Linked DNA regions of Danio rerio. The protein of the gene in region 1 binds, or shares a complex with, the protein of each later gene. Links are inferred from orthologs where the notes say so. Each region holds a gene or a part of one and is shown in the gene's direction. Other genes may lie near its edges. The genes, in order: xpo1b and si:dkey-7n6.2.

Evidence for each region.
Region 2: the proteins of xpo1b (region 1) and si:dkey-7n6.2 are in contact, whole or in part, in an NMR structure (PDB 2L1L), measured with the Homo sapiens proteins. The link is inferred for Danio rerio from reciprocal best matches to the Homo sapiens genes XPO1 and PKIA. Residues at the interface, in NP_003391.1 of Homo sapiens: Val518, Lys522, Leu525, Cys528, Glu529, Lys534, Lys537, Ala538, Ala541, Ile544, Phe554, His558, Lys560, Phe561, Thr564, Lys568, Phe572, Glu575, Thr576, Val580; in NP_006814.1 of Homo sapiens: Asn36, Leu38, Ala39, Lys41, Leu42, Ala43, Gly44, Leu45, Asp46, Ile47, Asn48, Glu51.

Annotation. Positions count from the first base shown.
Region 1 is NC_133192.1:25,313,104-25,320,224, forward strand, and holds the start of xpo1b (exportin-1), read left to right. Parts: upstream 1-3,393; 5' UTR 3,394-3,981; coding exon of another isoform or gene 3,982-3,984; 5' UTR 3,985-5,071; coding exon 5,072-5,098; intron 5,099-5,368; coding exon 5,369-5,500; intron 5,501-7,121. UniProt on the Homo sapiens protein: Mediates the nuclear export of cellular proteins (cargos) bearing a leucine-rich nuclear export signal (NES) and of RNAs.
Region 2 is NC_133199.1:26,673,848-26,680,826, forward strand, and holds the start of si:dkey-7n6.2 (cAMP-dependent protein kinase inhibitor alpha), read left to right. Parts: upstream 1-2,087; 5' UTR 2,088-2,412; intron 2,413-4,590; exon of another isoform or gene 4,591-5,919; intron 5,920-5,961; exon of another isoform or gene 5,962-6,979. UniProt on the Homo sapiens protein: Extremely potent competitive inhibitor of cAMP-dependent protein kinase activity, this protein interacts with the catalytic subunit of the enzyme after the cAMP-induced dissociation of its regulatory chains.

The DNA of each region.
Region 1 (7,121 bases):
TACATTTTACATAATTAAATATTATTTATTATACAATAAAATATATTATGAAAACTTAATGTTACTTAATATTAATAAAAAATATCCACCACATGAAGCAGTCCTACTGTCAAATTTAAAAAAAATATATATATATATATATAGTGTTATTTTTAGTTGTAAATTCATTTTGAGACATCTGATTATTTAAAATGTTAAGTTAATGTGAAGAAAAAAGATTAAGTGATATAAAAAACAGCTGAATTAATTACAATTTAATAAAAGTAGAAAGGGGCATTTCAGGAATTGAGACCCTATGGCTGGAGTTGCTTAGGACATCTAAAATCACTAAATCCACCCCTGGCTATACCGCATATCTTTGGACTGTGGGGGAAACCGGAGCACCCGGAGGAAACCCACGTGAACACGGGAAGAACATGCAAACTCCACAAATGCCAACTAACCCAGTCTGGTCTCGAACCAGTGACCTTCTTGCTGTGAGGCGACATTGCTAACCACTCAGCCACCCTGTCACCCTATAATACATTTAGTTTTTGATATTTTATTAAGAGGAAGTACACTCAAAAAACAAAAACTTGCTATGTCATTTATCCTCCCTCACATTTTTAAAAAGCATTTATGAGCTTCTTTCTCCTGATGAAAACAAGATATTTGTAAACATGCTGGTTGCTGCCCGGCACCCATCAAACTCCTTAATAGGAAAAAAGATTCCTGTTAAAGTAAATGGGGACCAGCAACCAGCATTTTTCAAAATATCTTCTTTGGTGTAGAAGGAAGAAAATCAAATAGGTTTTGAACAAGGGAAGGGTGAGTAAATGATTTCTATTTTATTTCAAGTAACTACACTGTAAAAAATAAACATGATCAATTTGTCATAATAGTGTTTTTTTTTAGTTCATTATAACTTATTAAACTAAGTTATTCAAGTTCCAACTTAATTGTGTAAGTTGCACAAGCTGTTTTAAGTCAGTTCAACAAAACAAGTTTAATGAACTCATAAGGTTAATTTCATTTAGCTTAAAAATTTAAGACGACCAGGATTTTTACAGTCTAGTTTTATTGTTTGTCTATAGTGACCAATTTGCTAAACAACAATTTAAAAAAAATGTAATCAATAAATAAGGTAATATTAACAGTTTATTAGACAGTACATAAACACCACAAGTATGACAACTGTCAAACAGGGGAGGAGCAGGTGATGTCATTATAATGCATGTAAATGGACTAGTAGGACCGGTGGGAACGGGCTCAATCCAGCCCAATCCAAACAGAGCAGCCCATTTCATTCACATGTATGTGCCACAGTGCACGTGTAGCCCTCCTAAGCTCACTTCGGCAGGACGACCTCTTTCACTCGCCCCCTGACCCTGTTAACTTTCAGACCCTCTGTAATGAGCTGATTAATGGCACACTTTAATATAGGAAGCATACAAGGTTTTCACATCAGCCACAGTTATACTTTTGATGCTTTGTACATATGCATGATCAGGAACCCACAATAAACAAAACCAGACTTCCAGAGAAGTTTCAATGCTTTATTGTATTTCTCAAAATAATTCAAAACAGCTGAGACAACAAAGAAATGAAGCATGGTGAGTTTTCTTTTACACAAAGTGAAGTCATAGCCTGAGAAACACAAGAGATTTCTTATCATTTCTAAAATAAGAGCACATTCACCATGTGTGAACGTTAAAAGAGTTAGTGTTTAATTTTGGAGTTTTAAAGAAATAGTTCACCCTAAAATTTAAAAACAATTCTCTCATAATTACCCTCAACACAAAAGAAGACATTTTGAAGAATGTCGAAAACCCAGCAGCCGTTGACCACCAAAGTATTCCAACATTTTTTAAACGAGGAATTTCTTCTTCAATTTTCAGGTGAACTGTCACTTTAATTCAAACTAAATACAAGACACACAACTGAACACAACATATTACTCTGTGTTATCCAAACACACCCATTCTCTATCTATTAATTACTTCAGGAAACCTGCTGTAAAGAAAGAAACTGGAACAGGGGTTACAAAGTAGTTGACTCTGATTCCTGGAAAACATGAGTAACTATATCATAGAAACTTCTAGACACTGAGACACGATTCACAAACAAACATTCATTCAAGCCACATCATACTGATCTCTTCTTCCAAAGTTTACATCGGCATGTGACCTGCATATAATAAAACACAACAAAAGGTAATGAATATAGATCTGATTCACACAACAGCTGATTATCAAATCACACCTGGAGCAATTTAAATGCACAAAACAGCAATGCTGAATTAAACACCAGCTAACACTGGAATAAATGCTGGCCTCTACTAAAAGGGAGATCAGTTGTTGGGCATATCATTTACAAAATTACTATTCCTAAAGTGCAGTAACACTGCTTGTTTAGTTAGCCATTTCAGAAGGTGTGTAATACTGACCACATGCTGGACTAAACGGAAAGACTTCGACACTGTGACCTTGTGGAACGAAGTTTTATTTAAGCCTAAATGACAGCTCGACTAGAGGACAATGTATTCTTGTTCTCATTCTTTGTTCAGTTCAGGCACTACATTAGTTTGCGCACACAAAATCCAGTATTTTTCCATCAACTGACGTTTAAGTGGCGTTGCGTCACGTGACTAGCGAAGAGGGGGTGAACATGCGAGCGTTTGACGTCTGTATGAAACAGCACGCCGATTGTTTATAATGATGTTTTTGAGCGATTCGATGCGTTTATCATCCATCACAACCATACCGGAGTCAATTTCGCGGTAGTTAAGTTTATGGAGACCATCACAAGCCAATTGTATCAAGCTCTGACCCATGCCATGCGTCTCATACCCTGACTCTGAACAACCACTCCCCTTCGTGGCTCGTGGAAAATTACCAGCTTACAATCAGCACAAGTACAAGCTCCAACATCCGCCTCACGGACTCGATGCCCTCGATCTCCTTCAGTCCACCCTGAAATTCATTTTCCCGAGCATGTATGCAATTATCAGACGCGCACTGCTGGGGAATATCAAATTAAAGCTCGCGGCGGATATAAACGCGAATGTTTATCGACGGAGTCGTGCAAAACACGTTACTATTAACGCTAAAACTAGCTTTTCCTTACAATAGTAACAAAACACACGAGAGCAATAATATCAGGAATTACAGGTCCATTCTGCACGCAGTTTGCCTTCTTTTTCTCCAAACGGGCGGAGCGGTCGCGTGGGCGCTAGAAAGAGTATAGATTGATTGACGTGCTCGCCGTCCAATGGTGTGTGAGCGAGGACGTGCTTAGCAACGCAACGGCCATTAGCAGGCCGCCATGGGCGTGACGTTAATCCAAACTTTTCGCGGCGCCATCGGCTGAAAACTAAACCGAGATGGAATCTCCCAGTCTGAACCGGTTTCAACCGGTTACGAGTTTGTTGCTTGTGAGAAGAAGAGGCGCACAGGCTCAGACTCTAATACCGCCCTGGTGCAAAATATACTTAAGTATAGAGCACATTTCTGAAATAAGGTTAACTTTGTTTCGTAAAATGAACCGGAGTAAGAAAATACTGAACTCGCCGTGATTGATGGTGCGGAATTCACATCCTAGTGGTCCTTAAATCAAGCTACTAGCTCGTGTAGTCTTCACAGAGGAATAGTGTGGCTGACCAGCCAACGGCTCATCCTAAAGCTTTTTTTCCAGAAAGCGTGTACAAACAGGCACCAGCGATACTGGATCAAATAAACATTATTTTAGCAACTCTGGCAGACAAGCCCACCTTCTTTCTCTCAAAGGCTTGGACTTTAGGTAGGTAAATTTGGGGTGCAAACTTCTAGTTAGAGTGCTTGGGTTGGTTTGGAGAATGATGATGCTGTGAGATTGTGTTGAAATGAATAGAAATTGCACGTATGGAGGTTGAAGTCGAAAGAAAGTGAGCTGGTTGTGCTGCTGAGTGTTTGTTGGATGTTGCGGGTGTGTGGCGTGATGGCTCCTGGTGTCACGCTGGACTAAATGGTAACGTTATATTTGGGGTTTGTTCGTTTGAAAAATAGTTTTAATCTCACGTAACATCATAACAATAACAACTGCATCGCTTCCGATCACGAGCTAACGTTAGACTTCAGCAGCACGCTTGTTTGGGTTTAGCGAGCGTCATTCAACTGTAAACCGCATTCCGGACTGTTCCAGAGCCAAAGCATTAGTTATTTAAACGCGTATAACGCACCCACAGTGTGTTACTTACCTGGTTTACTGCTGGTGAAGCCTGCAGAGCTTTCAGGTGTAGGGTGCAGAGCATGCTGTTGGTGGGAGGGGTTGCTCCAGAGTCAGCGAGGGAGATCCTTGCAAAGTCACCCCCGTAGAAGTCATCCAAAAACGGGTGTAGTCCGTCAGAAACGTCAGTGTTTTCTCACGGAAGAGGTGTTTGCTTGGACGTTTTAACGTCAGTCGCGCGCTAAAGCGTCCATTCAAGCGCTTTTGTACGATTGTATGCATACGCAGTTGCTGTCATGTACAGCGACGCATTATTAGGGGTTCTAGTCTATATCAACACAACTAGAACATCATAAGCGGCATTATCTTAGTCCAACCCAGTTGTGTTTTGAAAACGTGTGCATGCTTAGTAGCTCTATGTTGGGTTACAGATCCTATTGTGGTCACAGCTTACTGAATGAAATAAGGTGATGTGTGGAAAAGGAGGGTAAATCAACAGGTTGCGCAGTACTGACGATTAGTTATGGCACACCACATCACTTTGTTTATGCCTGCGAGACCCGTGGTCTCATAAAGCTTGACTGTCGTGTCTAAATAAATTCTTGAAATTTCCTCCGATGCCAAACTTCTTTTGGTTCTTGGCCGTAATGCTTACCTCGTTACGCAACAGTTTGGCTTCGGGGTACAAATTGAATTAGCTTGAGCAATGGCCATTCAAGTGTCCTTCAGTCTACTACGAGTCAGCATTAGGTCTTGTGGTTGTGGTCTTATGAAAGTAGAAAGAAAGTGTGTACTAACGCAGAGCGCTCGGTAACGCTACGCCTCTGTTATATGTAAACAATGTCGTCAGCGAAAGGGCTGCCTAGCACGTGGTCTCATTCAGAGAATAATGGCTGGTGTGATGATCATGAGCCCAGTGAGTGTCTCTTGTTTCTCCACACATCAGGATATCCAAGCTGCAAACATGTTACCTTTATCACGCCACCAACCTATCCTATTGTTATTAAGGATTAAACCCTCCATTAGGCACTACTGTGTTGACAGGCTAGAACATATAAGGCTTTTTGGGTGATCCCGAGTTTGGTTGAGGGAGGGGCGTAATGGTCAGCTGTTTGGATTTTTGTACCCATATGTTCATTTGACATGACTTTGCCCCTGCTAGATGTTTCCTCCCTGTCCCCTACAGAGCTCTATGCCAGCAATTATGACAATGTTAGCCGACCACGCAGCCAGACAGCTGCTGGACTTTAACCAGAAATTGGATATCAACCTGCTGGATAATGTGGTCAACTGCCTGTACCATGGAGTTGGGCCACAGGTAAGTAAGATCATTTTACAAATTGGTAAATACAGCACCAGATGTATGTGTTGAAGATATAACATAACATTAGCTGATAATTATCCAGTGCACATCAAATAATAAAATAGTCAATACAAATAACAATAAATGGATTGAAAGGGAAAGTATTATTCTAAGAGTCCTGAAATAAGCATTAATTTGGTGATCATTTGACAAAAGACTGGATAAATATAACCCTGTCTGCACTTTACCAGCAGTGTATTTTAAAATAAAACATCATGTAACTCGTTAATGGAACCAAGCTACTTTGAGGTAATTTACAATATTACTAGCGAAGATGATTATGAAAACTTGATGAAAACAAAGGTACAAAACTGTGTACTTGATAAGTTTAACAAGAAAATAACTACAATTATATGATCCAAATGCATTTAAAAATATATAAAGCAATTCATTTAAATTTTGTGTTGATGTTGAATGATGTATTTCGATTGATATATTGATTGATAGATTCCTAGACACCTATTCAATGTAGTTGGGTGAGATCATCTAGGTCAGGAACGCCCTAACCTTTTCTAATGAAGGGCCAAACATAACTATGGGCCAACTTAATTATGGATTTTGGACCTAAGATTAATAAAATGTATTACAAAATGGCAGTGGATAATTTCCTGATTTATTTAAAAAAATAAATATTTATTAATATATCTTGAATTTAATCATATGAACTTATGCATGATTTTTCAAAACATTTTAAGATAAACAAATTACAATGAAAGCATAATTCCATTTATAACACAAAGGAGCTCAATCGAAAAGTAATCGAAATCGACATTTAGAACCTGTAATTGATCAAATTTTTCCAAGTAAATTTTTTCAATTACTTTCCCTACCATGTGTTGAGTTACGTGACCCCGCTTGTTCAAGGCCAATTTATCCTATTATATTCCATTTTATACTTCTGCCAAGGGCACATACAGTCCAGCAAAGCGTTCACATACCTGCACACTTCTCAAAAAAATGTAATTGCGCGTCACAACGACACGTTGCACAAGCTTTGTGATTGGTCAGTTTGGTAGAGGTGACGTGGGTGCGCGGCGTGGAGAGCCGCGTTTTAGGCACTGTTTGTCTTTATCTCAGTTGTTCAATATTGATGTTCAATAAATAATCATAGACAGTAGATAGTGTGTGTTTCCTTTAATTTTAATCAAGTAATGCACAATCAAAAATCTCTCACTTGTAATATGTGAGCACATTTACTGTACAAAACTTGTCAGTGAACTATGAGGGCAAAAACATAAAACAAATAAATTAAACAATCTTTCATTAATCGTAATCGAGTTAAAATGTTTAATTAATCGAGATTTAGGTTTTAGGACAAATCGTTCAGGCCTAGTTCATGCAGAAAACGGTAGTAAATCTGCACCTGCCTTTGCATTGATTTGCTCACTGATGTATTCTGCATTGTTCTCTATCTGTTGAGTGACAGTATGTTTTATATATATATATATATATATATATATATATATATATATATATATATATATATATATATATATATATATATATATATATATATATAACAGATTCATTTACAACATTAAATTTGAGTTTACTTTTGTGTAGCTTAACAATACAA
Region 2 (6,979 bases), on another chromosome or scaffold:
GAAACCCCATGTAAACACGGACAGAACATGCAAACCCCACACAGAAATGCCAACTGACCCAGCTTAGGCCTGAACCAGGGACCTTCTTGCTGTGAGGTGACAGCACTACACTGCGCCACCACGCCACCCTGAGTAATTCTCATTGAATAAAAATAATGAGATAAAAAGATTAAATACCCCACAGGCTAAAGACTGCATTATAGGTGAATTGAATTGAAAGCTAAATTGTCCGTAGAGTATGTGTGTGAATGAGTATATGGATGTTTCCCAGTACTGGGTTGCAGCTGGAAAGACATCCACTGTGTAAAACATAGGCTGAATAAGTTGGCGGTTCATTCTGCTATGGTGAGCTCTGAAATAGAGACTAAGCCGAAGGAAAATGAATAAATAAATATTGCTTTAAAAGCTCTGATAAAAAAGGGTCTTTAGCTAATAGTAGTTTTCCATTTCTACCAATTAATGAAGAGATTTGACAAACAAATGTATGCTTATTTATTGCTATTTGAGCAACTTATGGCTATTTTCTAGAAAGTAAGTTGGCAGTTCATTCTGCTGTGGCGACTTCTGATGATTTTTGCATCTGAAATAGCACATACTATTTAAAACAGAATGTGACGACAAGAAGAAAGCTGCTCATTCACACTCATACACACTCATACACTACGGACAATTTAGCTTACCCAATTCAACTATAGTGAATGTCTTTGGACAGTGGCCGAATCTGCAGTACCCGGAGGAAACCCATGCGTACTGGGAGAACATTCAAACTCCACAAAGAAACGCCAACTGACACAGCCGAGGTTGAACTTGCAACCATTTTGCTGTAAGGCAAACATGTTACTTACTGTGCCACCATGCAACCCTTTTTATTTGTTTATTCATTTATTTTTATTATACCATTTGAATCTTTAGATTCTATGCAAGTACATAGTTGGCAACTGCCTGAAATAACTAATTTTATGGTGGTGTTTTCCTACGTGCATTAAAAAAATGTATGTTTTTATCGCAAACTATCCATAATAAAACCCCAAACAATTTCTGCATCTCAAATCACATAGTATTTAAAACAGAATGTAACACAAGAAGAAGGCTGCATCTGAAATAGCACACTCTCTTGGGTAAGCACTTGTTTTAAATAAATAATTACTTTGCAACTGTTTTATAAAGTAATAATTTATGTAATTTGAATGTAATATGGATGTAGTCAGCTACATTGCCATGTTGTCACTGTTATTTATTTATTTATTTATTTACTTTTTTAAAATTAAATATTAGAGTATATGTAAGTATGTTGTGAATTTCCTGAATTAATTTGTAATGTGACTGTAGATAATATTTATTTTAAAGTACAAATTATAAAGCTCAATAAACCATAACTTTTTTCAAAACATAATTTTTAGTGTGTTCAAATTATTTATATATTATTTAATTAATTAATAACAAACATAGACAATCCAATTTTACACACACACACACACACAAAAACACAATGATAGTAACAATGATAATAACAGATCAGGTTAAAAATATAAACACACATAAAAAAATAAAAAATAAAATAAAGAGAGAAACAAAAGCAAAGAAAAGTAAAAGAAAAAAATAACGATACATTCATACCCTGTTAATTTTTCTAAAATAATTGTCAAAATAATCTAAGAATCTATCACTTTTCTTGTTATTAACCAGTCTAAGAGATTTAATAAAAACATCAATTTAAATTAAAAAATGTGAAAAAGAAGGCTGCGAATTGAATAATTTTTGTTTGTGATAATACTTTCCATACAAAATAAAAAAGGTAATAATGTAGTTCTCTGATAAATCAGTTTTACTTTTATAGTAACAAATAATATCTTGTATAGTTTAAAGGGTCTGGAAAAAGCAATAATTACCTATATGGAGATATAAGCTATTCCAAATGCTTTTTGTGTTTTCACATTGAAAAAAAAAATGTGAATCAGCGTTTCGTCTTCAGTTTTACAAAATGTGCATGAACTATCAACCTCCAAATACTTTGCCAAAGTACTATTCACTAGATATATTTTATGAAGAATTTTATAGTGTGTTAAAAGTTGTGCCAAATACAGGAAATACGTCATGCAAGTAGACAAGTGCGAGTGTGTGCAGAGGCAGAGCCCTTACTGAGCGAATCAGTGAACAAGTTCAAAAGATTCGAGTCACTGAAATGAATCAAACTCCTCGGCATTACTGGGCATAAGCAGATAGAATGGTTTTGGATAATCCTCGCATATCAGCATCGCCCGGTTACGCGCATACGTCATCTCTATCTTCTCTTGCAGACTCATGGACTGAAGCAGCAGCAGCACCGCCACCGTCGCATCCAACTGAAGTAAACCGGAGCGACAAAACTGTACAGCAGTGACAATTATAGGAAAAACGTCCAGCCTAAAACAGGTACAATTTGCGGACTCGTTCGGCTTTCTGGGTATATCATTTTAGACGGTCGCCCGCCTGTTTCATTAGCTTCTGTGTTACCTTGTCGGTTTTATATAACCGTTTCATTGATATGAGCTTAAACGCCGTGTGCTGGACTGTAAATGTAAGAATTTCTCCACTGGGATGGCCACTTGTAGCTGTCATGTCTAGATATGTCATGTGGGTATGATATGCTAGGCTATGTGTTTTGATATGATGTTATAAATCGAGTACACGTGACATCAAGGACGACACCGGGTAGCCGCAGTACATTTATGTTTTATTCATTTTTACGTGATATAAACTATTAAATTTATGCTCTAGTTTACAGTTTTTGGTCATGGTTGTGTGGAATAAACGTGCAGAACTTGAGTTAAATTAAGGCAAACCTAGCTTTTTTGTTCAATATCATTGATGTTGTTTCAGTTTGCCTTTATTGTGAGGATGATGAATAGATTTGACTTGTGGAAATCAATGTTGCAGTAAAAAAAAATCTATGATTTTATATAAGAGCATTTAGTCAGTGCAGCAATGTTTTTATAGCAATCATATTTGATAGATTTTTTAAAAGGTTTACAATTGAGCCCCCAAAAATTTAATGTATTCTGTTTTTTTCCACCATCCTTCAAACTAGTTTCATTCTTTTGTCAGCAAGAACTTTTTAAATGTTTAAAATATAATACAATTTAATATGATGACTAATTATTCTTTAAAGTTGAGGTTAGAGTAAATGTTTTATTTTTACATCAATACAGTATATATTGTGCTGAATGATAATGGAAAGTTGTTTCGCCCATGTATTGCTATTACATTTTGACAAGTTATTGAAACATTGAAGTAGACACTTTATTTGCATTTGCTTTGCATTTGGATTCAAATTTGCTTATGTTAAAATTCAGTGTTCGCTGAGCAACAAAATATGTATTGCACTCGTATATCTGTATTACAGACAGAAAAGCCCTAAATTTGCTAGAATAAAATTCAGTGTTCATTTGAAATAATATTAAATATTAATATTTTAATACATTACTTTTGCATGCAAGTAATTGGGATACCTACAGTTGAAGTCAGAATTATTAGCCCCCCTGCTTATTTTTTCTCCAATTTTTGTTTAACGGAGAGAAGATTTTTTTCAACACATTTCTAAATATAATCGTTTTAATAACTAGTTTCTAATAAATGATTTATTTGATCTTTGCCATAATGACAGTAAATAATATTTTATTGGATATTTTTTAACAAACGTGCTTTTTTACAGCTTAAAGTGATATTTAAAGGCTTAACCAGGTTAACTAGGCAGGTTAGAGTAAATAGACAAATTATTGTATAATAATAGTTTGTTCTGTAGACTATCACACACACAAAAAAAGTTGACCTTAAAATGGGTTTTAAAAAATTAAAAACTGCTTTTATACTAGCCAAAGTAAAACAATTTAGAATTTCTCCAGAAGAAAAAAAAAACATTAGACATACTGTGAAAATTTCCTTGATCTTTTAAACATCATTTGAGAAATAATAATAAAAAAAATTATAATTTAAAGGGGGGCTAATAATTCTGACTTCAACTGCATATTATACAGAAAACAGGCACAGCTATCTCCACACCATTCAACAACTATCTTGTTCTTTGTTGTGTAAAAAGGTGTATGCTCTACAGTAAAAATGCTGAGTTATCTTCAACTTATTCAGCAAGAAGGTCGCTAGTTTTAGTCCCGGTTGGGCCAGGTGTAGAGTCTACACTCTGTGTAGAGTTGGCATGTTCTCCTCATGTTCATGTGGGTTTCCTCCAGGTTCTCCGGTTTCCCCCATAGACCAAAAACATGCAGTATAAGTGACCTGGATAAACCTCAATTGGCTGTAGTGTGTGAATGAGAGAGTGTTTGTGTGTTTTCCAGCACTGGGGCTTGTACTAAATTTAGTTGTATTTTTGTCTTTTTCATTATTTATTAAGTCTATGTGGTTTTAAATGTTTTTTATTTTATTTTGTGTTTTATTTTTTTGAGTGAAATTCAAGTAATTCAGTAATTCAAAAAAGCAGTATTTCCTATAGGCAACAACCTAAAATAAACTACATTTATTGTAAGTTAATTAGTTTTTCCTGCAATTTCAAAAATATGTATTTTTTTCATTCATTTATTCATTTTCTTTTCGGCCCAGTCCCTTTATTTATCTGGGGTTGCCAGAGCAGAATGAACCATCGACCTATCCAGCACACAGTATGTTTTACGCAGCGGATCCCCTTCCAGCCACAAGTAACCTAACACTGGGAAAAATCCATACACACTTCTTCTTCTGTACCGCATGTCTTTGGACTTGTGGGGGAAACGGGAGCACCTGGAGGAAACCCACACGAACACTGGGAGAACATGCAAACTCCACACAAGAATGCCAACTGACCCAGCCGAGGCTTAAACCAGTGACCTACTGTATTTGCAGTGAGGCTACGGCGCTACTCACTGTGCCGCTGCGTTGCCCTTTGTTTTTGCTCTGTTTAATTTAATTTAATAAAAAAAAAATACATTTTATAGTTTGTATTGCTTTTTGTGTTGGTTTGACATTTTAATACAGTATTAAAACTAAATAAAAATAATATGAGAAATATTTCTTTGGCAATAAAATTAAATATATTTTTTTGCTTTATAAATGTAGTTTATATTTAATTTCACTTAACTTTAAAAAGAATAAAAATAGTACATGTTTTGGTATAGCCACGTTACATAAAGTCATTTGGAAAAGAATTGAGCATTTTATGCGAAATCCAACACTATTTTTAAAAATTTCCCTCTTATTTTAGTACAGTGAATCAGCTCTGTAATGATGACCTCCTTTAGGGTGTTTCTCCACACAGTGGCATCATTTTAAAGGCAGAATGACTGTGCTGAGATGATAACATGAGCTAAATATAACCGTGAGCTCAGGGAAGACCGTCCTTACATCCCATCCCTGATAATTAGTTCAACAAAATTCGAGATAATCTTGCAGATTTGTGCCACATCTGTTTTGATATTTACATGGATTCCCAAATTGATAATAAATCACCAATATTTCATTATACTATTTGGTATAAAATTAATTTCTTTACAGTTCACTAGTTTGTGGTGTTTTCAGGTGAGCACGGTCACCTTCCAGGATATCCACGGGGTCTTATATGTCTTTAATCACAAAAGCTAAATTTTAGGTTTTAAAAAGTCCTAAATCTACTGAAATGTTGTGTTGTAGGTCTTAAATCTTTTTTGAAAAAGTTTTAATTTTCCTTTGTTCATGGATAGCTGGCCATTTACACCACCAACAATCCACCTCAATTAAACTTTTTTTTTTTTTTAAATAGCATTTATTTTTACTTTCCTTACAGTAACATTTGCTTAAAAAAAAGTTTTCTATTTATTTACTGCTAAGGATACTGACCTGACCTATTTTTTTAATTATTATTGTAGACTGAAGTAATTGACAGCTATGTTTTGTTCTATTCTTGGTAAGAGTTATAGAGTTTGTGAATAAATACATTTGAAAATGTAAAAAAAATCAAAGATTATTATTATTATTATTATTATTATTATTATTATTATTATTACTACTACTACTATGATTATTGTTGTTGTTGTTGTATTGTTAAATGTATAAAATTGTAATAATTTTTGATGGGGCAAGTGAAAATCTTTTCTATCTGGGATATTCAAATAACATTCTTAGCATCTAGCCCTTTCTTAGCATCTAGCATCTTAGCATCTAGATTGTGTTCATAATGGTCTTAAAATGTCTTAAAATCACTTAAATTTAACTTTGTGAAACCTGCAGAAACCCTGCCTTCAGCACGCAGTTAGTAAACTAAAAATGGTGGCATCCCGAAAAAGACTCGTACATTTATGACAGTTTTTCATTAAACTGTTGGTCAGTTTATTTATTTAATAATCCCATTTTGCCATGTAGCAATAAATCCATAATGAGATAAACAAATAGAGAAGTATTTCTGTTAAGGTAAAACAGATATTGCCAAAGTTTTCTTTGGGGGCATAATTTAAAGTTGCAATGTATCACAGAATATCTAAATATATTTAAAATTGCAATAACATTGTATAATGATTATGACACATATCAGGATAGCATTGTATAGTGGGGACTCTAAAATTAAAATTAATTCACATTTTATTTTCACACAACATAAAAAAGAATAGATTCAATTAGAAATGCATCACTTAGAAATGCATGAGATCGCAGATGTGAGACTGAATAAACAGTCTCTCATCCAAGCTTATCCTCTTATTGAGCTCAGATTATATGCCACCTCATGTAATCTTTACATTGTTTGGGATTCCTAATGGTTTGTTCAAATGCTGACTAGTAATAGAAACAGTTGTTTGACATTTATGGATTGCATTCAGAGCTTTGGGATCAGTAAAAACATGTTCAGTGTTTTTAAAAGATGTCTATTTCTGCTGCAAATCTGGACAGTTTGAATGGAATTGCTAATTTGACTGACCAGTGAAAACAAACATGAATCCATGAATAAATAAATTAATGAAATAACAAAATAAAACATAATTCATAT